3 linked regions of the Nothobranchius furzeri genome follow. The main gene of each other region encodes a partner of the protein of the gene in region 3 in a complex. Links are inferred from orthologs where the notes say so. Each region holds a gene or a part of one and is shown on either strand. Other genes may lie near its edges.

The links. The genes of interacting proteins can lie anywhere in the genome.
Region 1: the proteins of ptar1 (region 3) and ykt6 are in contact, whole or in part, in a crystal structure (PDB 6J7F), measured with the Homo sapiens proteins. The link is inferred for Nothobranchius furzeri from reciprocal best matches to the Homo sapiens genes PTAR1 and YKT6. Residues at the interface, in NP_001093136.1 of Homo sapiens: Glu31, Gly33, Leu34, Ile35, Pro36, Val48, Val50, Glu51, Lys53, Leu54, Gly55, Ser58, Lys135, Tyr191, His225, Ser228, Met229, His230, Val231, Ser232, Asp233, Phe298, Asp301, Leu302, Ser305, Tyr306, His309; in NP_006546.1 of Homo sapiens: Met1, Ser29, Phe30, Phe31, Asn83, Glu84, Pro86, Gln131, Asn132, Pro133, Arg134, Gln180, Phe184, Arg189, Ser193.
Region 2: the proteins of ptar1 (region 3) and rabggtb are in contact, whole or in part, in a crystal structure (PDB 6O60), measured with the Homo sapiens proteins. The link is inferred for Nothobranchius furzeri from reciprocal best matches to the Homo sapiens genes PTAR1 and RABGGTB. Residues at the interface, in NP_001093136.1 of Homo sapiens: Val61, Lys62, Leu65, Pro66, His69, Leu73, Arg76, Leu97, Asn98, Asp100, Phe101, Thr102, Thr103, Asn106, Lys109, Glu110, Leu113, Ile141, Arg144, Trp145, Pro192, Ser193, Tyr195, Ser199, Ile202, Trp203, Gln206, Val231, Ser232, His234; in NP_004573.2 of Homo sapiens: Lys6, Asp36, Tyr37, Cys40, Met41, Glu43, Tyr44, Ile89, Gly90, His91, Asp92, Asp136, Trp138, Glu140, Phe177, Asp178, Gly182, Cys183, Arg184, Pro185, Gly186, Ser187, Glu188, Ser189, His190, Gln193, Trp217, Glu221, Arg222, Pro225.

What each region holds. Positions count from the first base shown.
Region 1 is NC_091757.1:56,088,543-56,096,709, reverse strand, and holds the start of ykt6 (synaptobrevin homolog YKT6), read left to right. Parts: upstream 1-3,169; 5' UTR 3,170-3,362; intron 3,363-3,596; 5' UTR 3,597-3,651; coding exon 3,652-3,755; intron 3,756-3,933; coding exon 3,934-4,016; intron 4,017-5,892; coding exon 5,893-5,993; intron 5,994-6,067; coding exon 6,068-6,172; intron 6,173-6,278; coding exon 6,279-6,344; intron 6,345-8,167. UniProt on the Homo sapiens protein: Vesicular soluble NSF attachment protein receptor (v-SNARE) mediating vesicle docking and fusion to a specific acceptor cellular compartment. Functions in endoplasmic reticulum to Golgi transport; as part of a SNARE complex composed of GOSR1, GOSR2 and STX5.
Region 2 is NC_091751.1:41,397,616-41,405,590, forward strand, and holds rabggtb (geranylgeranyl transferase type-2 subunit beta), read left to right. Parts: upstream 1-2,977; 5' UTR 2,978-3,098; coding exon 3,099-3,101; intron 3,102-3,314; coding exon 3,315-3,422; intron 3,423-3,956; coding exon 3,957-4,154; intron 4,155-4,288; coding exon 4,289-4,394; intron 4,395-4,595; coding exon 4,596-4,648; intron 4,649-4,837; coding exon 4,838-4,948; intron 4,949-5,060; coding exon 5,061-5,186; intron 5,187-5,291; coding exon 5,292-5,441; intron 5,442-5,514; coding exon 5,515-5,655; 3' UTR 5,656-6,263; downstream 6,264-7,975. Other genes in the region: acadm (medium-chain specific acyl-CoA dehydrogenase, mitochondrial), read left to right, coding at 1-29, 167-307, 494-589, 660-908, 978-1,049. UniProt on the Homo sapiens protein: Catalyzes the transfer of a geranylgeranyl moiety from geranylgeranyl diphosphate to both cysteines of Rab proteins with the C-terminal sequence -XXCC, -XCXC and -CCXX, such as RAB1A, RAB3A, RAB5A and RAB7A.
Region 3 is NC_091757.1:21,246,307-21,253,730, reverse strand, and holds part of ptar1 (protein prenyltransferase alpha subunit repeat-containing protein 1), read left to right. Parts: intron 1-4,666; coding exon 4,667-4,771; intron 4,772-7,424.

The DNA of each region.
Region 1 (8,167 bases), about 35 Mb from region 3:
TTGTAGACTGGTGTGAGCATAACCACCTTCAATTAAACACCAGTAAAACAAAGGAAATGGTGATTGGCTTCCAGAGAAACACTCCTCCTCACTCACCGGTAAACATCCAGGTGCAGACGTTGAGGTGGTGGATACCATTAGTGTTCACGTCATCAGTAAACTGAACTGGTCCAACAACACAGATGCTCTGTATTCCTGAGGAGGCTGAGGTCCATCAGATTTAATTCACATCTGCTAAAATTCTTTTATCACTCTGCTGTCAGCTCTGTTATTCATTCTGCCGTGGTCTGTTGGGGTGCAGGCAGCTCTGACCGAGACAGGAGGAGACTGAACAAGCTAGTAAAATAAAGCTAGCTCTGTTCTGGGCTGCCAACTAGATTCAGCTGAGGATGATGTGTGGAAGGAGGATGCTAAGGAAGATGACCTCCATCTTGGGAAACCCCTCCTACCCACCGTGTTCCATTGTGGGGACCATGGACAGCTCCTTCAGAGGTAGACTAAGACATCCCAGATGTAAAACAGAACACTACCGTAGGTCATTCATCCCCTCTGCAGTAATAGTGCGTAAATTGTCAGTTTAACTGGTACTGGCATTATCCTGGTACACAATGACATCAGTGTGGTATTCAGTATGTGTTCAATACTTGTGCAGTACCTGACGTAATATGTCTGAGTTCATTATGCTGCATAGTTCTGGAAACCCAAGTTTCCTTTTCATTCATTGTTTTTAGTGGTTGAAGGTTACACAAATAAATAAATAAACATAAATAAACATTGATAGCTCATTACCTTTGTGTGTTTATCTGAAATCTCGTTATTATTCTCTTCTTCCTTTTTTCTCTAAGCAGATGTGCTGCTTTAGTCGGTGTGGGGTTAATAAAGTCTATTATATTTTATTTTATTTGCAGATGACAATAATAGTTTTTATTCTGGGGTATGGCTCAAAATAATTGCAGAAAGTGTGGTTTGTGAGATGTCTAAAATTAAAACGTAGCTTAAAATAATTTATTAATTATGAAATGCAACAAAAAACATTACGGACGTTATTTTTTAGAATAAAAAAATGTTACTTTTAGTAGAAATTTTGAGTCACAAAACTTAGTTGCATATGATGCAAAAAGTTTATAAATCCATGGAAATTTCCAAAACGTGTGTTTTAGAACTATCAGCGCAACACATTTTATATTATTCACTTCATTCACACCTGAGTTTCTGTTTAAAGAAGTTAGAGTTCACACACGCGATCAATACTAATCCCTAGTTTGTATTTAAAGAAAATATATCAACTAAATGAATAATATTTAAGACTAATGACATTGTTTGCAGTAATGTATTTGTAGAGATGCTTATTTAAGCACAACCAGATGGAAATAATTGTCTTATAAGTAAAACAGGAACAGGTTTGTTTAGAACTGCTGTTGGAGTTTTGATTTAATTTATTAATGACTACATTTGGATAAGTAAACTAAATAAATGGGATTAAATATCAAACTCTATATTGTTACAGTAAAGGAAGTGAGCTGGAAAATTGTTGTTTTTGCAGATTTGCTGTAAGATTTTCCTCATAAAATAAGACCTTTCTAGGAAAATCTGTGACTCTTTTTCAGCCACTTAGCTCAAATGAGATTGCTTCCTCTGCTGTCTAAATCTAGCTCTCACAAACACACAGAGAGAGATGAACTGTTACCTTTTCCATCCTTTCACAGTGAGGGTTAAATCCTGGACGCGCCGCTGACCATCGGTGCTCTGCAGCAGAACTTTAATGGAGTCTGGAGTTCCCCGTTTGTCCTCTATGAATGTTTTTTCTCTGTGCCCATTCACAACGTTAGAAATAATTGATTCTGCAAATGAGACGTCAGACCTATCAGGCCTTTTTCCCCCATGTGTCATCTACATATTGCTCGATGAAAGTTCTCCACAGTGCTTTTTAAGACCTGGCTGGTAAACTCTGAAAGGATATCATCAAAATACCACCTCCCCCAAAAAAACCCAATCTTTAAATAATCTACGGGCTTTTGTTCATTCTTGCAGTACAAGAAGTCATTTGGTGCAAAAATGAAGAATTTGGAATCTTATGCATATTTTATGGCAGAGTGTAAAGAGCGATCTGGAAGAAAAATGTTTAAGATTCAAAGTGATTTAAAAAAAAAGCTACAGCTTCACTCTGAAAAACTGCCTTGTTGACCCCCAAAAAGTGTAGGCTATACTATTAACTTTCTGCATAACATTCTTAATGTTTCGTCCCAGGACAAAAAACACGTTAAAATAAAATCCAGAGCACTGATTTGGAATAAAAAAAAGAACAAAAATGAAGATAGATTATTCAAACTTCCCATTAGAGTCTGAAATCCTCCTGGACAAGGTTGTCTGTGAGCAAAACTAGAGCTAATTCCAGGAAAGATGTTTCCCTTCCTCCCGTGGTGTAGCTGATCCAACAGATGCATCTGAAGCCTTAGCAGTTCCCATTTTATGTTACCTGGGAAATTAGCAACAGGCACACTACTGACATGGAAAACACTTACTTACCGTAAGTTAAGTGGCCAGGAGGAAATTGTTAAATGGACCAACATTACCACAGAGGAGATCAGTTGATGGCGCCATGTTTTTGCTTGGCAAAATGACTGGTAGATGAAAAAGAAAACAGTATTATTGATTTTAAAAAACCGTCTTGTATTTTTATTACGACTTCTCAATTAGCTTAGACATTCTTCAGAAAGCAGCAACCAGACAATAGCAGATTTTAAAGTTTTTGAAGCATTAGGACAAATTAGTTAAAGGACTCAAATGAAATTACTGCATAAAAAATCCTGTGCAAACAAAATAACCGAATATTTACAGGGAGTGAGAACATCAATGATAATAATATTATTATTATTTAATATTATAGATTATTATTATTATTATTGCTGTTGTTGTTAACATTAATAGAGTATTTATTAGTAACCCTGAAAAATATTCAGAGGAAAAAAATAACAAAAATGTTCTTTTCCCTAATTTGGAACAAAATATAATAAAGTGGAGCATCCTCTGTAATGAGCAAATGCCTTTAAAAATTCTATTATTCCATATTTAGTTTAGTTTTCTTTTCCCTCTTCATAGTTTTCAAGTCCTCAAAATCCTCCAAAAGGATCTGGCGCGCTTTTATTAACGCAGGCGGAGCCGTTTTCCCAAACACGGAAGTGACGTCAAAACGCTCATGTAGATGGGAACGTCTACTGGTTCTGACGTGGAAACTGATTACTGAAGTACAAATTCTCCCTTTGAGACAACACTGATAATTCTTGCAGTCGCGCTGTAGAGCCTCTTGTTGATCTTTTTTGTTGTTCTGGTTTAAATCGGGTGTTTCGCTGCTGAATCTTCCGGTGAGTTTGGCTCAGGCCTCTTCTACAATGTAGCATATCTGGTTAGCTTATTTAACTCATGAAGCTGAATTAAAACGGGTTCGTCTTTACAAATAAACAAAAACATACAAAACAAGTTACCAGAAGCTAAGTCAAGCAAACAGCCTGCTAGCTGTCAGTACTTTCGCTCGTAAGCTAAGTCTGTTTCGCTTCTAGCAAGTTTAGCAGGGACGCTAACCAGCTGCTGGCTAACAGGTAATACTCTCGTGATTGTGACCGCTCTACAGACCTGAGCTGATCCGGTGGTATCATGAAGCTCTACAGCCTCAGCGTCCACTATAAAGGGTCGACCAAAGCCAATCTCCTGAAAGCGGCCTATGACCTGTCATCCTTCAGCTTCTTCCAGCGCTCCAGGTGCCTCCCAGTATTTACGTATAGATTAAACGCTCTAGTCTTTGTTGGTGTTAATGGTGTTTGAAGTATTTGGTACTAAAACTCTGTCAAACGCCTAAACTCGTGGATCACATATCATACTTGCTTACTGTTTTCATTAGACTACCATCAGTGATGATGTTTTATTTTGTAAATTCAGTGTTCAAGAGTTCATGACCTTCACCAGTGCACTGATTGTTGAACGAACATCTCAAGGAACCCGTGCCTCCGTCAAAGAACAAGGTAAGGCTGGTGTGGTCCGTTTTAAAGACTTGTATTTGATCTTCTACCTGGTCATGACGACAAAACCATGTTGGGTTCTCAGGAGTAAGAACAAGAGTGTAAAGGATCTTTTAGATGTTAAGAAAAACATTGATGTTGAGGTTATTTTCTACATGTTTTCTCACTTTTTTCTGTCAGTTTGAAGTTGAGAATAAAGACATAACGCACAAAGTAGCAAATGAAGCTTCTTTGTTTATCCATAACTAAAGAGAAACAAAAATGTGGACTTTTTAAAATAAATAAAAATACTAAATATTAGTATTTTAAAAAGCTTATTTTTTTCTTGGTATTTCATTAAGATATACATATATATATATATTTTAAAATGTTGGCTTATATAAATATTTCATAATTATTCTTAAAAATAGTAGCTTTAGTCCTCGCTGTATCAAAAAGCACGAACTGCCCATCCTGTATTGATCGTGACAGATTCCCTTTTGCATTATTTTGCTAAACATCACTATTTATTTCTGAGTCCCAAAGATCCTCAGTGGGTTTCAGGTTGGGAATCTGGTGTCCAGAATAAAATGATGTCTCATGATCCCTGAACCAGCCTTTCACAGTTGACATTGTTATATACATTTATATATTGTATATTATTTATTTATTATTTATTTGTTTGCTCTGTTAAATCCGGCTTGTGACTTGTTTTTGAACAGGCAGTGTTTGATCTAAACGTGGCTGAGTGTCAGTAACTGGATGTTAAACTTTCTACATGGCCTAGTGGTAGAGTGTCCACCCTGGGACTGGGAGATCAGGTTCAGATCCCAGGCAGGTCATGCCAAAGTCTTTAAAAATGGGACCCAATGATTGACGCTCAGCTTTAAGGGGTTGGATTGGGGGGTTAGACCACCAAATAGTTCCAGAGCACAGCCACTGCTGCAGCTCACCGCTCCCCACGTGCTGCAAACAGGATAGCCGTCCTCTATCAGCTGTCCCTCGGCATTCTTCAAATATCCAAAAAATGCCGTACTTCCCACTTTGTCTTCTTTGAGGGATAATAAATGTCCTCCTGAGCGCTGCCGTCTCCTCCTTTGGCCATTATTTCAGCTTTAGCTTCAAGAAAGTTTTGGTTGTAAACAACAAAGTGCGCATGTGCCGCCGGCAACTTCAGCAGATGATACGGTGGCTGGTAAGGGTCACCACGCCTACACCGCAGCCACGGTGATCCACCGAGATAATATAGTTTTTAAACAAGACGGTTATTGTTACGTCCCCGACGGGTGTTGTAAGAATGTGAAGGATGGGGGTAACATAAGAACTGGCGGAGGAGTTTAAAATGGGTTTAATGGTAACAAAAAGGTATTAAAAAAAAAGCAAACAGATCTCTCTAAAAGGTTAACATTACACAGCAAATTATCAGCTATAAAACACCGGGTTAAAACTTATATTAAAAGCTTCACCACACGAAGGTGTTTAAAAACCGAGGTCAGTAAAATTGCACAAACCAAGTTAACCTTAAAACCAAACAGCCAAAAAGATCCCACTGGATCGTCCAGAAAAACTTATCACCAAGAGTTCAAAACTGCCAAAGTTTAAAACTCGTCCAAACGAAAGGGGTTGAAAACAAACAAAACCGGGAGGACAGCAGAACCCCTGCACTGCTGAGGGCACAGCCCTTTTATCCAGGTGTTTGCTCATCAGGTAGATTCCTCGCAGCTGTGCTCCTCAGCAGCCCGGGAGAGACGAGGAGGAGGGGCGGTGTCGGGCTGCTTCTCTCCACTGGCCACACTGGCAACCGTAACAGTTATTATTACTGTCAACTTCTTTTACCGGGGTTTACCGCTACACCGGTTACCGTGACAACCCGAGATTTGACTTATTTCCACTTCTGCAGAGTACCTGTGCCATGTGTACGTGAGAAACGACAACTTGGGTGGTGTGGTGATCGCAGACACTGAATATCCACAGAGGGTCTGCTTCACGCTGCTTGAAAAGGTGAGTAAAACGTTTAGCGTGCTGCTGCAGCGCTTTGCTCTGAACAGCAGCTTTTAGACTGCTCTGTCTCTCAGGTATTAGATGAGTTCTCCAGGCAAGTGGACAGTGTAGACTGGCCATCCGGGAGTCCTGACACCGTCCACTACAAAGCTCTGGACATTCACCTTTCTAAGTACCAGGTTAGTTAAACGGCGTCACACACCATCGTGTATTTTATCATATTTGTGGCTTTTTATGAATCTCGTCAAACAGATTCTTACAGCTGATCATCTGTTTCCCCCTCAGAATCCCAGAGAAGCTGATGCAATGACCAAAGTGCAGGCAGAGCTGGATGAGACCAAGATCATTTTGGTAAAATACGTTCACATTCTTTAAAGGCCAGCTCCTCTGAGAAACTTTTATTTTATTTGTTTGTTTACTTCTTTTTGAAAGTAAGTCACTGAGAGTTTAGGATGCAGGCTGAAGAAGAAAATAGTCTCTTACACCTATTTCCTGCTTTAGCTTCTGATAGAATACAGACAGAAAACGCTCGGGTGTGTAGTCGTGCACACGCATCAGCGGAGACGTTCACCTTTCAGACCTCTCCATCGCCTGGACTGTTGCCAAGCAGTTCCCCGTTGATGGCTCTGCTGTTGACAGATTTAAAGGAAGTGGCATCCTGATCATTCGCAGACTTGCGGTTTCTGTTGTTTTCAAAAGAAAGTAAAAAATGTGGGCGTGTCTCCGTCACCCTCTTTTCAGGCTATTGCATCAGCGGCGCTTCGTCTCCATCACAGAGCTGATGTAAACATATAGACTAGGCTGTAGGAGTCTGAGCCGCGGCTGTGGTTCGATGGCAAATGTGTCATCGTGTTGGAATGTGACAGGAGCTGTTTAACCCTCGGGGGTCCGTGGACGCGCATCCGCGTCTTTAACAGGTCTGATTTGGGACGCTGTAGCAGCAAGACTCCGCCTCCCTGAGTTTCGGTTTCAATTCAGCTTTAAAAAGGAGATTTTAAACTACACCCCAGTTTTTAAATGTTGTTAATAGGCAACGTAAAAGCGGAGTTATGCTAAACTAAAAAAACGACCTATTTTTAGACAATCTGATAACTTGTCAAAACAGCAGTTTAATGATCCGTGAGAGGGAACGTGCTTGTGAACATAAAAACATGAGATCCTGTTGCTGTTGGTGGAAGTCTCACATATTCAGCTGATAAAAAGCATCATTATGTAGCTGAGAGAGAGAGGAAGGCTGCACGAGTAACGAGGTGTGCGCCAAAAGGAGCCGCTTGGCGGGGAAAGGAGTGGCGCCAACGGAGTAACAACAAACAATTAGACAGATATTGACGGTAAACTTCATATTTTGGAGCGATCCGGACAGATATATCGTCTCTGCAGTTTAGTGGGCTTTTATTAGGCTTTAATAAAGGATGATGAGAAGGATAAATGTCCACCAGGCAGGTCAGATAGTACGGCTGTTTTTGGAACTGGAAGCAGAGGAAGTGGGCGGAGACTCACAGCCGGAGTTTGAGGCAAATAGCGAGGATGTTGATGACGATGTGGCGGATCCATCCTTCCTCATAGAAGAGTTGGGTCATGATGAGGTAGAGGATGACGGCAGAGATCCAGCTCCTCGGAGATCCAACGAGACGAGTGGGCGGCGCCGCGCAGCTGTCAGATCTCGATCTCCGCGGCGTGAGACAGAGCCACTCCCCACTCCAAAATGCATGTACATTATTGCCAAATCAATAAAATTAGTATAAATTCAGATAGTCCAGACTGTCCTGAAAAAATTATGCCCCATAAGGCAAAATTTGTTTTTACTAGAAAAACCAAAATGAGTCAAAAACGGTGATTTACATCCTGGACCCCAGAGGGCTAATAATTTATTTTTAATGTGTTATTTGCTATATTTATTCATATATTTTTTTTTTATAAATGTACAGCCTAAATTACCATTCTAAATTATAAAAAACATTCGTCATAAATGTTTGTTGGTTTCACAGTAAAATAAACAACTTTTTTCCTATTCGGATTTTATGTTTTTGAGTGATTTAAGGTCTAATATGCAACCCCTTTATGTCCAAATATAAAAAATAAGTATAAATCCATAAAGTCCAGGTTGTGCTGAAAAGATTGATACCACATAAGGCAGTGCTTATGGCTTTTATTTTGGAAATACAAAAGAAAAC
Region 2 (7,975 bases), on a different chromosome or scaffold from region 3:
ACACTCCAGGAATTCAACCAGGAAGGAAGGTAGGATGGGATTCTTATTTTCTGTAAGGAAACATCACTTAGTTTGACACATTTAAGCCTTTCCATTAGCTCTCAGGTTCATTTCTTTAAATTTTCTCGCTAACAGAGGAATCTTATATTTGCTTTTGCCCCTGCAGGAGATGAACATGGGCCAGAGGTGCTCTGACACCAGAGGCATTACGTTTGAAGATGTCAGAATACCCAAGGAGAACGTCCTGATCACAGAGGGAGCTGGTTTCAAAATCGCCATGGGTGCCTTTGACAACACCAGACCACCAGTAGGTTCTCCAGCTGGAGCCAGCATCTATCAACCACACTTAATGAGTTTGTGTCCAAGTTGCTAATTGAAAACATGGAAAAAACTTTATTTGCCGATCTTTGATTTGTGGTTCACGTCCTCCAGTGGAATCCTCAGAGGTAACTGAAGTATGTTTTGGCTAATTACTGTACTTGATGCTGTGCAGGTAGCAGCAGGAGCAACAGGTCTGGCACAGAGAGCGCTGGATGAAGCCACTAACTACGCCCTGGAGAGGAAGACATTTGGCAAAGCGATTGCTGAGGTTTGTTTTTAATGAAATCCTTTAATAGAAATGCACCTGACAAGATGGGTAAACTGTTTGTGTCTGGCAGCATCAAGCCGTGTCGTTCCTGCTGGCTGAGATGGCCATGAAGGTGGAGCTGGCCCGGATGGCGTACCAGCGGTCCGCTTGGGAACGGGATCAGGGTCGCAGAAACACTTATTACGCCTCCATCGCCAAGGCCTTCGCTGGAGACATCGCCAATCAGGTGGCTTCTGATGCCGTTCAGATTTTTGGAGGCAACGGCTTCAACAGCGAGTACCCGGTGGAGAAGCTGATGAGGGATGCAAAGATCTACCAGGTGGGTGTTGCCTTTGCATGCAGGTGAAGCTGGAGGCTTTCATTTTAAATTGAATCTGTTCTTTTGTAGATCTATGAAGGCACAGCTCAAATCCAAAGGCTCATCATTGCCAGAGAACACCTAGGAAGATTCCAGAAATGAAATCAGCTGTTTGACTTTTCTTCTTCTGCATTTAAATATTGTACTTTGGATATAAATAAGCTCCTGTCAAACTAATCTGGCCTCAGGATGCAGCTCTAGATGTTGTTTGCCTTAAAACGGATTCATTCTGCTCTGCAGTATCAAACAAGTTCAGACCACGAAAAGGAAACATTTTTAAGACATAAATAATCGTGTTGTTTCCAGTTTAGCACATTTTGTACAAAAACATCTTTTGAATGTGAAGGAAAGAGAGTCTGTTCAGGTTGGAAATGATCATCAGCAGGATACAAATAAATGTGTTTAGAAGGAAATCTGTTTCTGAACTAAAACTGTTGCAGTTATTCTCGTTCACGAGTGTTTTGTTGATAAAGATGTTTTTTTTAATGAAAATCCGGTTGAAGGTCAAAGTTCAGACTTGGCTCACACCTTTGTGATTTTTGTTAACTTGTCTTCATGCCTGTAGTCATGCCTTAAACACACAACTGACTCTGGTCAAATGTGTAAAGTTGTATAAATTCATTTAACACTAGAATGTGTGGAAGTAATTCTGCATGCTGTCAGCCAGTTCCACTCAGCAGACATTATCAACATTATGGTAAACTTCTGCACACTTGCTCACTAATGTTGGATGTAATGCTGTATGATTTTTCTGAGCCGTCCACTTAATAAATTCATTCTGGATTATATGGTTTGGTTTTATGGATGTCGGTCATTCTTTTGGATGAGTGAACAAAGGAAATCCTAAATGTATTAATGAAAAAAAAAAACTGATCACCATTATATGTACTGATTGTAAACAAACATTTAACGCTTTAAATGTTAGTCATGTTACATTTTTACGTATTTGTAGCCGTTTTTAAATCTAGTTTCTGTTAAAACTTTACTGATGTATTTCCTGAAGAATAGGTGTTTTAAATATGATAGCTAATGGTATAATTTAAAGGAAGCTTTTTGATGAATAAGTAAAAGTTTATTTATATAGCGCCTTTCACAGATATAAATCACAACATGATAAAGATCAGAGCAAATACCTCTAACCAATAAAAACATCTGAAAAACAATAGCAGTGATAAACGTAGAAAATAAAATCATGAGTATAAACAAAGGGAAGGTGTGAACTCGAACAAAACCATCTTTTTGAAACATTTAGGGAGGTAACGCCTGGATGAAAAGGTGAGTTTTTAGATGATTTTTAAAGACCTCTACAGTGTTAGAGAGACGGAGATTTGAAGGTAGACTGTTCCAAAGTCTGGGGCCAATAGTCTGAAAGGCCCTGTCCCCTTTGGTTTACAGTCTGGTTCGAGGAACAGCCAGGAGGTTTTCAGATGTGGATCTAAGTTCCGAGAGGTGATGTGTGGGGATAAAAGCTCAGATAGGTAGCTTGGAGCCTGGTTGTTAAGAGCTCTATAGGTCAGGAGGACTAAAACTTTAAACTGTATTCTATATTCTACCGGGAGCCAGTGGAGGGACTGTAAAACTGGAGTGATGTGAGCTCGTCTGCTGGATTTGGTTAGGAGTCCAGCTGCTGCATTTTGGATGGCTTGAAGGCGTGAGAGGGAGGTTTTGCTGAGACCAGTAAAAAGAGCGTTACAGTAGTCTAAGCGTGATGACACAAAGGCATGGATGATTTTTTCCAGATCTGCAGTAGAAACCAGTTTACGGACTTTTGAAATGTTTCTCAGTTGAAAGAAACAAGAGCGGGAGATGGTTTTGACGTGAGTCTAAACTTAAAGCTGGATCAAAAATAACTCCTAGGTTTCTAATGTTGGCCTTGGCTGATGGGCAAAGTAAAAGTAAAGTAAAAGTAACTTTTCCAGTTTTTTCCCTAGAATAGTTACATATTTTTACTATACTATCACTAAAAGTACAAATACAAAACACTTAGTATTTTTGATTTCAAAACCGCACAATAAATAACTCAAATTGATATTTTGTTCTTGTAATACTTCAATCAAACCAGAAGGTGGCGGTAAAGTCTGAAACTATACGACATTTAAAACCGTAGAAGAAGAAGGCCGGAAGTAGCTTGACCATGCAAAATATGTCAGAATGGTAATCCGTCACTTGTTCTTCTGTGCTTTAGAGCATCGTTTTATAATTAAAGTGTGTGTAAATGTTATCTTGTCTTCTTTATTTAAATGCTGTGCCGAAGTGGATGCTACCCTTGTTAGCATTTAGCAGCTAGTCATAACAATGTGTCCTCCTGTATTCGTTTAACTACAGCGTAGTTGTGTCTTGTGACCGTTTCTGTTGTGTTTTTGTCAGAGTGCTCAACTAAAAGATGTCATCATTAAACCTGACGCTCCCAGCTGGCTGCTGCTGGACAAACATGCAGATTACATCGCTGCCTACGGGTCCAAGAAGGACGACTATGTGAGTGACGTTTTATTTACACTTAGTTTGTAGGATTTGTGTCGTCTCGTTTTTATCTGCCTCTGTCGATAAAACCTCGTTTCAGAAGTTTTAAACGTTTTATTTATTTATTTTGGGTTAAGATAAAAGATGCATTCAGGTGTTTTAAAAGGTAAGTTTTTTGTCCCAATTTTCCACAAAGTATATTAAAAAAGACAGAAAATGCTTTAAAGAAACCAAAGATGTACATTTTAAAAAATAATTATAAGACTAAAGAGACGGCCCTCACGTCTCATGAGCACCCACATCAGTGGGGATCTCCCCTGGACCCAAAACAGATTGCCAAGAAGGCAAAATTTTGAACTGCCCTCCACAACTCTCAGCAACTACAGCAGCCTGATCATCTGATTCACTGGTTAAGATTGTGTGCACAAATAAGAAATTTTACTTTGGTTTAACGGGTTTTTGCAACAGGAATTAAATAATGTTTTAAACCCAAAATCAAACTGTACCTGGTCTTTGGTGTTAATGAAATCTGACACCTCTGTGCTGCAGGAGTACACACTGTCAGAGTACCTGAGGATGAGCGGTATCTACTGGGGGCTGACGGTGATGGATCTGATGGGTCAGCTGCCCAGGATGAGCCGTCAGGAGATCATAGACTTCATCAAAGCCTGCCAACACGAGTGTGGAGGCGTCAGCGCCAGTATTGGACATGACCCACACCTGCTGTACACCCTCAGCGCCATCCAGGTGACACAAAGCCTCATTATAATAAATCACAAATGCTAAGGATGTGAGGAAAACTCAGATGAGCTAAACGATCACATGTGTTTTTCTTTAAGGTTTTTAGTTGACATCTTTTTATTTTTACACGTCTTTCTCAGATCTTGTGCTTGTATGACAGCCTGGATGCGATCGATGTTGACAAAGTGGTGGAATATGTGAAAGGGCTTCAGCAGGAGGATGGCTCTTTTGCAGGGGACAAATGGGGTGAGCGAGCTTTACTCTCTCTTTCATTTAGAGTAAAAATAAAAAGTCATTTTCACAAAGCAAAGCAGCTCTTTAGAGAAACCTGCACAACAAACTCTTAGATGTCTGAGAATAAGGAGCTGCATCTGGAATTGTGCACAAGCTTTAACTATAAGATTATTTAAAGATCTTTATCGTAACTGAAGTTTTCGTTCTTTTCAGGAGAAATAGACACACGCTTTTCTTTCTGTGCGGTTGCTACGCTAGCGTTACTGGTACGTACGGGTTTGTCTGAAAATAACCGTAATGCAGGCTGAACCAACAGTTCTGTGATAAAACTCACTCAGTTGCATCTTTTTTCCTGATGTCTGTGAACTTTTTAAAGGAGGTCGTGAGTTTGTTATTTAGTCAGATTAACCATACCTCTGAAGATTACTTTCTAGTCTTCATCTGTCCTTTCCCAGGGGAAAATGGACTCGATAAACGTAGACAAGGCGGTTGAGTTCGTCCTGTCCTGTATGAATTTTGATGGAGGTTTTGGCTGCAGACCTGGTTCAGAGTCTCACGCTGGTCAGGTGAGTTTTTGTCCCCAAACAACAATGTAAAAAAACCTAAAGGTTCAATTTATAATAGAATGAAAAATCTTCTGACATTAAACCCCCTGTTGCTTTTTTACGCTTTCATAAGATTTACTGCTGCACTGGTTTCCTGTCGCTCACTGGCCAGCTGCACCAGCTGAACGCCGACCTGTTGGGCTGGTGGCTCTGTGAGAGGCAGCTGCCATCTGGAGGCCTCAACGGGAGACCAGAGAAGGTCTGCCACCTCCTGATGATGTTTGGTTTTAGATTTGTTTGGAAAAATGACCAAAGAAACCCTTTTTTTAAGACTTGTCTTTAATCAAACCTCCATCTGACGCAGCTCCCAGATGTTTGCTACTCGTGGTGGGTTCTGGCATCGCTGAAGATCATCGGCCGGATCCACTGGATCGACAAAGCCAAGCTGCGGCGGTTTATTCTGGCCTGTCAGGACGAGGAGACGGGAGGTTTTGCAGACCGACCAGGAGACGTGGTGAGACGTGTTCTGAAAAGCAGAGCTCAGATTTTCCTCCAGTGTTCTGAATGTTCTGGTCTCTCCTCTGCAGGTGGATCCTTTCCACACTCTGTTCGGGATCGCCGGTCTCTCTCTCCTCGGCGACGAGCAGATCAAGGCAGTAAATCCGGTTCTGTGCATGCCGGAGGACGTCCTGCAGAGGGTCCACCTGCAGCCCGACCTCCTCAGCTAGCCCATCATCATCCTCACAAACACCGCTACCCTCACATAAACTCCCCTCAGCTGGAAGCAGGAAGTGGATCCGGACTCATCTCTGTTTCACTCTTCGGCCTTAATCCTTCCTCTGCTCACGTTTCTATCCAGCGTATCGTGTTTCAGCTGTTGAAGTTTAAACATAATTTAAAAACACATTCCTTACACTTAAATGCATCACTTCCATCAGCTGCAGCTAAGAATTAATATTATTGTTTATGTGGAACTTTGGATTCAGCCGGGAGGAAAAAGTGTTTTTGGCACCTTAAACTCTTAGCAGTTACGTAGCTGCTTTTTAATCATAAAAGGCGTTTTTATGAGCAGCAAGAGCGATGTGGAGGACACTAACGGTGTTTGCAGCAGACAGGCTTTCTGGGAAACCTAACTAAACAATATTCTACGTTTACAGCTTTATTCACTATTTATTAAACCTATTCACAGCTCTCTAAGGATTCTGGGAAATTTCTGTTAAACATTTGAGTCGTAAATTCTTCACTTTTATTGTCTTATTGTCAAACGTTTGTTTTGTTGTTGTGAACTGATCCGTGTCCGTTGGTACAGAGTAAATAAATCACACCAGTGTTCAAATTTCTAGTGTTTTTTTTTTCTGATTTAGAAGCCAAACATTGTTCCAGTTACAGATCTGATAACTTATGTTCACTAAGACAACTTGAGATCGGTTTAGAAATGAGCTTCACATCAATAGGAAACTTGTTTATGTTATGTTTTTCACTATTTTACTGCAGACACTCAGTAACGTTCTCATATTTGTATTCAGCGTTAAAAATCACAGTTTTAAGATATTCAACTTTACTATAATAAGTTTGATTGCAGAAGTTTCTGTTTTACACAAATAAAAAACTAATCAGTTTGGATGTTGAACTTTTTCTTAGGTACAGGTATTTTATGAAGCGGTGTTTGGCTCGTTAATAGTAAAAATGATCAAATATGTTCATCTAGAAGCTTTTAAACAAGCATTGATGGGTTTGTAATCTAAAGCTTAAAGAGCAAGTCACCCCCTACCAGATTCGTACTCAACTCCCACTTCCTGTTTGAAAAATGCAACAAATGCTGTTGCCCAGCAGACCGAGAGGGCGGAGCCGCTAACAAATACAGGGTACCTCTTAGCCAATAGCGATGGCAGATTTAAATTCAAATGCAGTGCAGAGTTTTTACCTGACAGTTTTAGGCAGAAAATTAAAATTTTAACAAGAAATGCACTAAAGTGTTAAACTATTGACTACACGTGTCTGCAGCACAATTAGACACGCATTTATATAGTTTATTCGAAAAAAAAAGTTGATTTGGGGGTGACTTGCTCTTAAAACATAATGTACATAAAAGCTTTTCAGTTATAAATGTTCTTTAAACTACTTTGATACCTCCGTTATTAAACTGTGTTTGATGTGGTTGCAGATTTAGTAAAACTAAATTACTTCTGTAACGTTTCTCCCTGAGGCTGCAGAGGCGGCTGTGGTTTACCTCCAGATGGCTGCTCCATCACCTGTGGTGTCCAACTCTGGTCCTCAAGGGCCACGCACCTGATTTTAATCAGTAGGTGATTAACAGGCTTATGCAGAGCCTGATGAGCAGCTGAACAGGTGATTCAACCATGTGACGAAGACCGTTGGAGCAGGGAAACAACTAAAACATTACAGGATACGGACCTAGAGTTGGACACCACTGGTAAAAGTCATCAAAATGGTCCACAGTTTTTAATGTTTGATGCGTTTTTCCACTCGGCGTGTCCAACATACACTATTTAAACGAAAAGGTCATTGATGAGCTTGTGAACCAGGGACCACATTAGATTTAGCAAAAATGATGCTGTTACTCTGTCCAGTTTGAGCAATTTTAGGGTTAATTGGGAAGCAAAGACCAGTAGAATAATTTCTATCAAAGAGATAATGTGATTTCTTTTTTCAGAGGCAAAATGGAAGTTGGGATCACTGATATGTAAAAACACCACACAGCTATAATAAATGTTAACATAATCAGCTCCTTTACCACAAAACAAAACATTGTGTGAGTCTCTCACTAAAAGTGAGCCACCTCCTGTTAGTTAAGTTTTTACTGGTGAAAACTTTTTCACCACTGGATTTTTGTCATTTTGATGTGAGTGGTGATCCAAACAGCTTAGGAACAAATTCCATTAGTACCATCATGATGTTGCATAAATAGGGTTTAGTTAGTTCCCCTGTTGCTAAGACCTAAACGCCACAGCGTTTTATTATGAAAGAATTTACAGAAAGTGTTTCTAGGGAGATACTGTAACTTTTTGAAGGTAGTTTCTTCTTCTC
Region 3 (7,424 bases):
GCCACTGTTGTCTGAGCTCTCTCCAGGTTACAGTTTCCCCTGTGTAGTTCTGGGCTGTTTCCTCACCATCCTCAAGAACATTTGTACCCCACAACATGAGGTTTTGCATGGTCGAGGGAGCCTGACAGAGATCTTGTAATAATTGCTCCAGATGTTGAGCTGCTGGCCTAATGTAGATGGGTTCATCCCAGTCTTGTACAATTTTGTCCCTGTTGTCCTTAGACAGCGATCTGGTCATGGTGAAGGTTGAAGTCTTTGGTGCTTTCACATCTGGGTCGCACGGACCCACCCTGGTAGCGTATATTATCTGGGTAGCCTGTGTGTTTTTTTCTGCCCAACCAACCTTTTTTTTCAGACCTCCTATCGTGGCAGTCCGCTTTGGGCTGAACTGTCTGATTGGTCAGCTGAAATTTATACCCATCTCAGATTGGCCGTTAGAATGATCCAGCAGGGGCTTCCTTAATGCACGATTCATTATCACTCTGGAGTTAACATCTCCTCTGACTGCTTCTGGGAGTGCTGCTCCAGCCACGGCAGCATGAGGACACACAGCATCCTCACTCCGAGAGAGAGCAGGAAGCGATTTCAGAGTCAGAGTCTCATGGCCGCCGTTGTTTACTAATTAAGGAGCACACCACGGACTTCTCTTTTGCCCCACCCATGTGCTAGGAGATTCCTGCATTCCCGAGAAGGCTGTGAACAAAACCTGCTCATGCCGACCCAGATGTGAGTGCGCCAGGTCTGTATGAATGTATGGACAGGTGACTTTTATACAGATAGTTCAAACAAGTGCTCTTGAACAGCTATTAAGTGGAGGAAACAAGGGAATCTAAAATCACACATCATCACTTCCTGGATTTTTTAAAAAGTCTACCTATGATGAAGAATACAGACCTCTGTCATCTTTAAGTGGAACAACTTCAACAGTCGGTGGCTGCCAAATATTTTTTGCCCCAGTGTAATCAGTTAAGTGAGAAAGTAATTTCCATTGTCGTCAAAATGTCAGTAGGAGCTTTTGAACCCATGGGTAGTGATGCGCCAATGCCTATACACTCCAGGAGATCTCTGAAAATGGTGTCGAAGGTCACTAAGATACGTATCAACTGGGTATGAATTACCTGGTCGAGGACTGAATCTCTTGACACCACGAGACATCCTATAGATGTCAGCCACGGTCACAGGTGAATGTGGTTGGGCTGGCTGGAAAGCTGGCCCGAACATCGCAGCAGCTGGTGGATAATGTTGAGCCGCTGGTGGGTAATGTTGCTGAGCAGCAGGAAGGTATTGTTGAGCTGGTTGGGGAGCTGGAACCATCACCGCAGCAGCAGGTGGGTAATGTGGGGCTGGAGGCCCCAGTGGGTGTGGTGGAGCTGACTGGGGAACCAGTTCAGCCACACCACCAGATGGGGGCAGTGGTGCTGAAGGAGGTGGGTGTGGTTCAGTCAGCTGGAGAGCTGGCAAAACCACACCAGCCGCGACGGCAGGTGGAGTGGCAGGTGGAGGAGCAGGTGGAACCGGGAGGGTTGAAGGGGTCCCCCTTCTTTCTCCAGTGAGCGCAGAAATCTGTGATTTTAAATCAGCAATTTCAATATCCCGCTCACGTATGTCATTCCTGATTTTGAAGAGATCAATCTTCAGAGCATTTTTCTCATCCTCCAAAACAGCAACTTGACTTTCTGCTCTCGATTTCTTATCCAACAACACTGCATTCTCTTTTAGAGCTTCATCCAGCTCCTTTCTGCTAGACTCATCGTCAGAGACGGAGCCGCTGGCTCCACCTCTATGCCTCTGCTCAGAAAGCGTGCGCATCGCACCTTGTGTAGCCACGTGACTCAACTTCCTTATCCCAGAGGTGAGCTAGAAGAACAGCAAACCGTCCCAGGTTCTCCGTGCGGGTTGTTGTTTTGACTCTCACCCTCGCCGGGTAAGGCAGCTGCATTCTCCTGCAGCTTCTTTAATAGGTCACCTGGTGTAAGATGCTCAAAGGACTCGTCGTAGCCACAAGCATTGAGGTTTGCAGAACCTATACATATTAAAACAGAATTGATGATTCCTTTCCCCACAGTGGAAAAACCAAGCTCTTCCTCAGACATTGTTTTGTCATTAATTTAAGTGTAATGTACCAGAAAACACAAAAAGAGTGTAATGTACGAGAGGTGCCACAAGATGGAGCACCTCACCTTAGAGCGCTAGGCAACAGTGCGGGAGGGGTAGTGAGCGTCACTCCGTTATGCACAGTGATGCCGTCCAAAATGGTGGACGGGCCTGGTGGAGACAGTCTTCTCACAATAAAAGTCAAAAATACGCCCAAAACTACTAAAAACATGCGGAGAGCTTGTTTTGTAGAGTATAGCGAGTTATGACGAGGACAAACGCCGCGTCGAACGGTTGACGGTGCCCCTGGATTTGTGTTTGCGGGCGTTGTCAGGCCTTGCTAATATTTAGCTTGCTAATATTTAGCTCACCAAGCTCGCGGGCGTTGTCAGGCCTTGCTAATATTTAGCTTGCTAATATTTAGCTCACCAAGCTCGCCGGCCTTATCAGGCCTTGCTAATATTTAGCTTGCTAATATTTAGCTCACCAAGCTCGCGGGCATTGTCAGGCCTTGCTAATATTTAGCTTGCTAATATTTAGCTCACCAAGCTCGCCGGCCTTATCAGGCCTTGCTAATATTTAGCTTGCTAATATTTAGCTCACCAAGCTCGCAGGCATTGTCAGGCCTTGCTAATGTTTAGCTTGCTAATATTTAGCTCACCAAGCTCGCGGGCATTGTCAGGCCTTGCTAATGTTTAGCTTGCTAATATTTAGCTCACCAAGCTCGCCGGCCTTGTCAGGCCTTGCTAATATTTAGCTTGCTAATATTTAGCTCACCAAGCTCGCGGGTGTTGTCAGGCCTTGCTAATGTTTAGCTTGCTAATATTTAGCTCACCAAGCTAACAGGCTTGGAGGTCTTTGTGAGGTGTGTCTCTTGGCGTAATTCTCACGGGAATCAGCCCTTCGACCACGGTATTCCTCCCACAGGTTCTCGTGCTAATTTGTCAGTATAGCGTGTAATTTGCGGTATATATATCTCGCTACGCTCTTCCGGTATGGGCTTAAGATGAGCTTTCTTCAGCTAATCAAAGCAGCGGGCAATAAAGCACTTATTTCTGCTTCAGGCATCCCTGGTTAATTCCGAGCACAGAATTAATGTCCAGAATTCTCGTCGGAAAATGTTGAGTGATTCACGATTGATCAGATCGGAATCAGAGGTAGCTTAATGCTAAGTGGAGATCAGCATTTCCTGACTCATGTAACACAAGCTTTTCAACGGTGACAAAACCACACAAATAAACGTAGCAGAATCACTCAAAGGACGTGACAAACTCGATCACAAATGTATTTACCTTTAAATCAACACACAGTTAATCTCTTGCAGTTTTAAACTGTAGCTTCGCTATAGACACATAGACTGCAAGGGAGGGTAGCGCCCCTGGTGGGGGACGGGAGTCTCCGGGTTTTGGGAAATAGGTAGGGACAGCGTCCCCAGATGGCGAATAATGAGATTGCCCTCGTTTTCCACCCAGACAGAAAATAATAGTTTTTTAAGGAATAATTAATGGATCAGAACCAACACGAAGTGGACAATTCTAATAAAGTCTGGCTGACTTCTGCCAATATGTAGGGTTTGGTAAATTGAGTGCTTTAAGAGCTCAATACATATTACCTCTACTTATGACCAATAAGCTGTGATACTCTATATAAATATAGAATATCAACCCTGCTTGGTCTTTACGGTGTTTAATCAGAAGATCTAGGGATCTTGCTTTATCAGGGGATTGTACACACTTTGTTTTGATTCAGAAAACAGTCAGGTTTATAAAAGTAAAAATTTATTTTACCAACAATTAAAACATTAACTAACATTTTACTGTGATGGATGGAACTAGATGTGATGTATGAACCTATGTGTGAATGTGATGTTATCAGAACTTCCGTATCTAGGAGAGCTGAGTTCTGGATGCAAAAGAATTTGGTTTACGTTAAGCTATGAAGTTTGATTTTATAGCCAGTGTGAGTCCACCTCACATGGACTCACACTGGCTAAATACAAGGAAAGTAAAAAAAAAATACACTTAGTCCTTATTTTTTAACTAGTTTACCAATAAAGGCTGAGAATTATACTGGCAAGTGTAGCTACTAAAGAATAAAGTTACTGCCACGACTGAGAGGTGAACCTGTGCAAAACAACATGCCAGTCCAACCACTGGACCATGGAGTCTGTTAGAAAGCGATAGTCGCCTAACATACATTTCCTTTGCTGACCTATAAGTGCAGCTATGTAGACAGGATGCATGGTTTATACAGTGGTGTTTTATCCCCAGTGCAGAAGTAATTTGCCAGAATATCCACAGAATACCTATGTTTTAAAACAAAGACAGGGAGGTGAAATGCCTGATGATGCAAGTAGTTTTCATTCAGGCATTTTCAGAATTTTCAAAGTAAAATGCTAAATTTGCAGCTGATACAGGGAAATGCATGAATGCAGTCAACAATAGGTTTGTGGGTATTATTCATTAGGAAATAAAAATATCACATGGTATAAAGCTCAGAAAAGTGGATTCTTCATTACATGGCCCCTTTAAATGAGTGCTACATACAGCTGAGTAATGTGTGTGTATTACAGGAAAGAGTTGCTGCAGTGTGGTGCTCTTAGCCCAGAGAGGGATCTGTACCTTGGAAAGCTGACACTCACCAAGTTCCCCAAGAGCCCAGAGACATGGATACACAGGTAACATTGACTTATAAGTAAAATGAGTAAAAGAGATACACGCATAACATGAATACGCTGCTAACGCTGGTAACATGGGTTCGAAGGTAACATAAGTATCATGGTTAACATGGGAAGTGTGTGTGAGGCAGTGCCTTTCAAGCGTTTGTGTGTGTGTGTGTGTGTGTGTGTGTGTGTGTGTGTGTGTGTGTGTGTGTGTGTGTGTGTGTGTGTGTGTGTGTGTGTGTGTGTGTGTGTGTGTGTGTGTCTTACGCTGCAAGTTGTGAAGCGCGTTCCATCCGCGAGCGGCATCACCAAGCGGAAAGGCTTCGCAGGACAACAAATGTGAATATTAAAATCGCCAAGGATAATCACTCTATCATATTTCGGAAGAAACTCTGCTAAGATGTCAGAAAATTCATTTAAAAAGTTAGAATTGTACTTTGGTGGGTGGTAACAAAGTAAGAACAGCACTGGGGAGCTAAAATCCAGCTCAAAAAGTGATAATTCAAAGCTACTTGGAGTCACAGAGGCCGAGAGTCGTTTCAGGTGGAGGGTAGAATCAAACAGAGTTAGTAGACCCCCACCACGACCGGAAAGTCTAGGCACGTTGAGCACTGAACATTGCAAAGGACAAAGTTCTGAGAGAGCAGCCGACTCACCAGGCGCGACCCAGGACTCCGTCATGCAGAACAGGTTTAGCTTGTGATCGACGAAATAATCCTTTAAAATGGCTGTTTTATTTCCAATTGAACGTACGTTCTGGAGAGCAACCCTAAGGGGTGGTGCAGGCTCCGAGCAGATTGATTGGAAGGACGGGGCAGCATCGTCCAGCATTGGGTAGCTCAGGTTAGCAGAGTTAACACCACCACCAGGCGGCCAGGTTTTCTTCAGCTCGCCTCTTTTTCGGCTTAATATTTAAAGTTACTTTTTTCGTAACGTACGTGGTGCATTTGACAAGACAGCTGAAAACGGCTCGTGCATGCATCGGTCACTGCCTCCGGTCGGGTTTACTCTCTCTCTCTCTCTCTCTCTCTCTCTCTCTCTCTCTGTGTGTATTAATTCATGAACTTAAATATCAATGTTCTGATTTCATTGAAAAACTTATTCTGTAATAGTTCCTTTACTATTGTGATTAAAAATATTTAATCTAAGTTCTGAGGCTGCTCTGTAAATAGTTTTCAAATAAACACACATAGCAACTTCTGATCAATCCATATCAATTTCAGACTTAAAATAATGTATTGATGTAAACCACACCCACTTCCGAGTTAGGCCACACCCACTCCGAGTACAGATACAGATAATTTAGATGGTTGAACAGATACAGATACAGATAGCTGTGTACTTGCACATCCCTAACTGGTACCAAAATAAAAAAGACAAAGAACTGTTTGTTAAAACATTTTATTTCTTTTATTGGCCATTAGTTATATAAAAAATGTCCAGCCAGCATTTTCAGCTTTATCACTATTGTCTGAGTCTCATTCATTCCAATCTTCTGAAGTTGCCAAACCTTCTGGTCCACAAATCCGATTTTTCTAAGCTTTTTTACTTTAAATGTATCTAACCTGTAAGATACTCAAATAACAAAGAAAGTGAAGGGAGGGTGTTACAACATGGAGATGTTGTGAAATTGAATGAGACTCACTAACATTACAACGATAGGAACTATATTAAATTAAATCCATTAAAATGGACATGGTAATTAAAGAATCTATTAAAATCCCTAACTTGGTAATCATAAAAGGACTTTCCAACAGTGACCTTGATGAAGAAGTAGCAACTTACCTTGAGAAACTGTTCAATCAACCGCCACATCCGGATAGATGATGCTCTGTCAGAGTATGGTAGACTGATGATAGCGGAGTTCAATCACACTAGTTCAATGCATTCCTTAAACCTTCTTTAGCCACTTACTATCCAAAGCTCTGCTCAGCCCGAAGTTGCATTCGAAATTAAGAGTTTAGCTGAGGTGTATGCAGCAAATGCGCAGAATGTTACCAGAGCATACATGAAACAACGAAGAAGAAGAAGAAGAAGATATTATTTCTATAGCGCCTCTCAAGATAAAAATCAGGAGGCGCTTCACAAAAACAAAATGTAACTAGAACTGCAAGCAGTTATCAACGGGTTCCAAGCCCCCAGCGCCAGTCGCCCACCCGCCCCGCCCTCAACTTCGCCAGTCCTCACGCGGTCCCGCCCCAAAAACACGTTCTCCCGCCGGCGTCCCGTCAGCTCACTTCAACCGGCGCAATGAAAGTAACACTCAGGATACGTCATTAAACCTGCAAAGCCTATACACATATCTTTCAGAGGCATGGCTGACTTCTCAATCGTGATTACAATGGAATTCCACTGTTTCCTTATTAAAGAACGTGAAGATTTAATGAGTGAGATTATCAAACAATCATCTATACATCAACAGAATATTACAAATAACATAAAGACTTGATAATGTCTTTAGATTTAATAGATTTTCAACAAAAACAATGAGTTTCATTTTGTGACTTACTGATCAATTGTTTTAAAAAATCATGAAAAATACATAAATCATCATAAAATTACCAAAATATTCTCACATGGCAGTGTTAACATGCGGAATAATATGATGTTGTTTTTAAATCAGTTGACTCAAAGCTTTTTTGAAGAAAAATTAGGAAATATAACTATA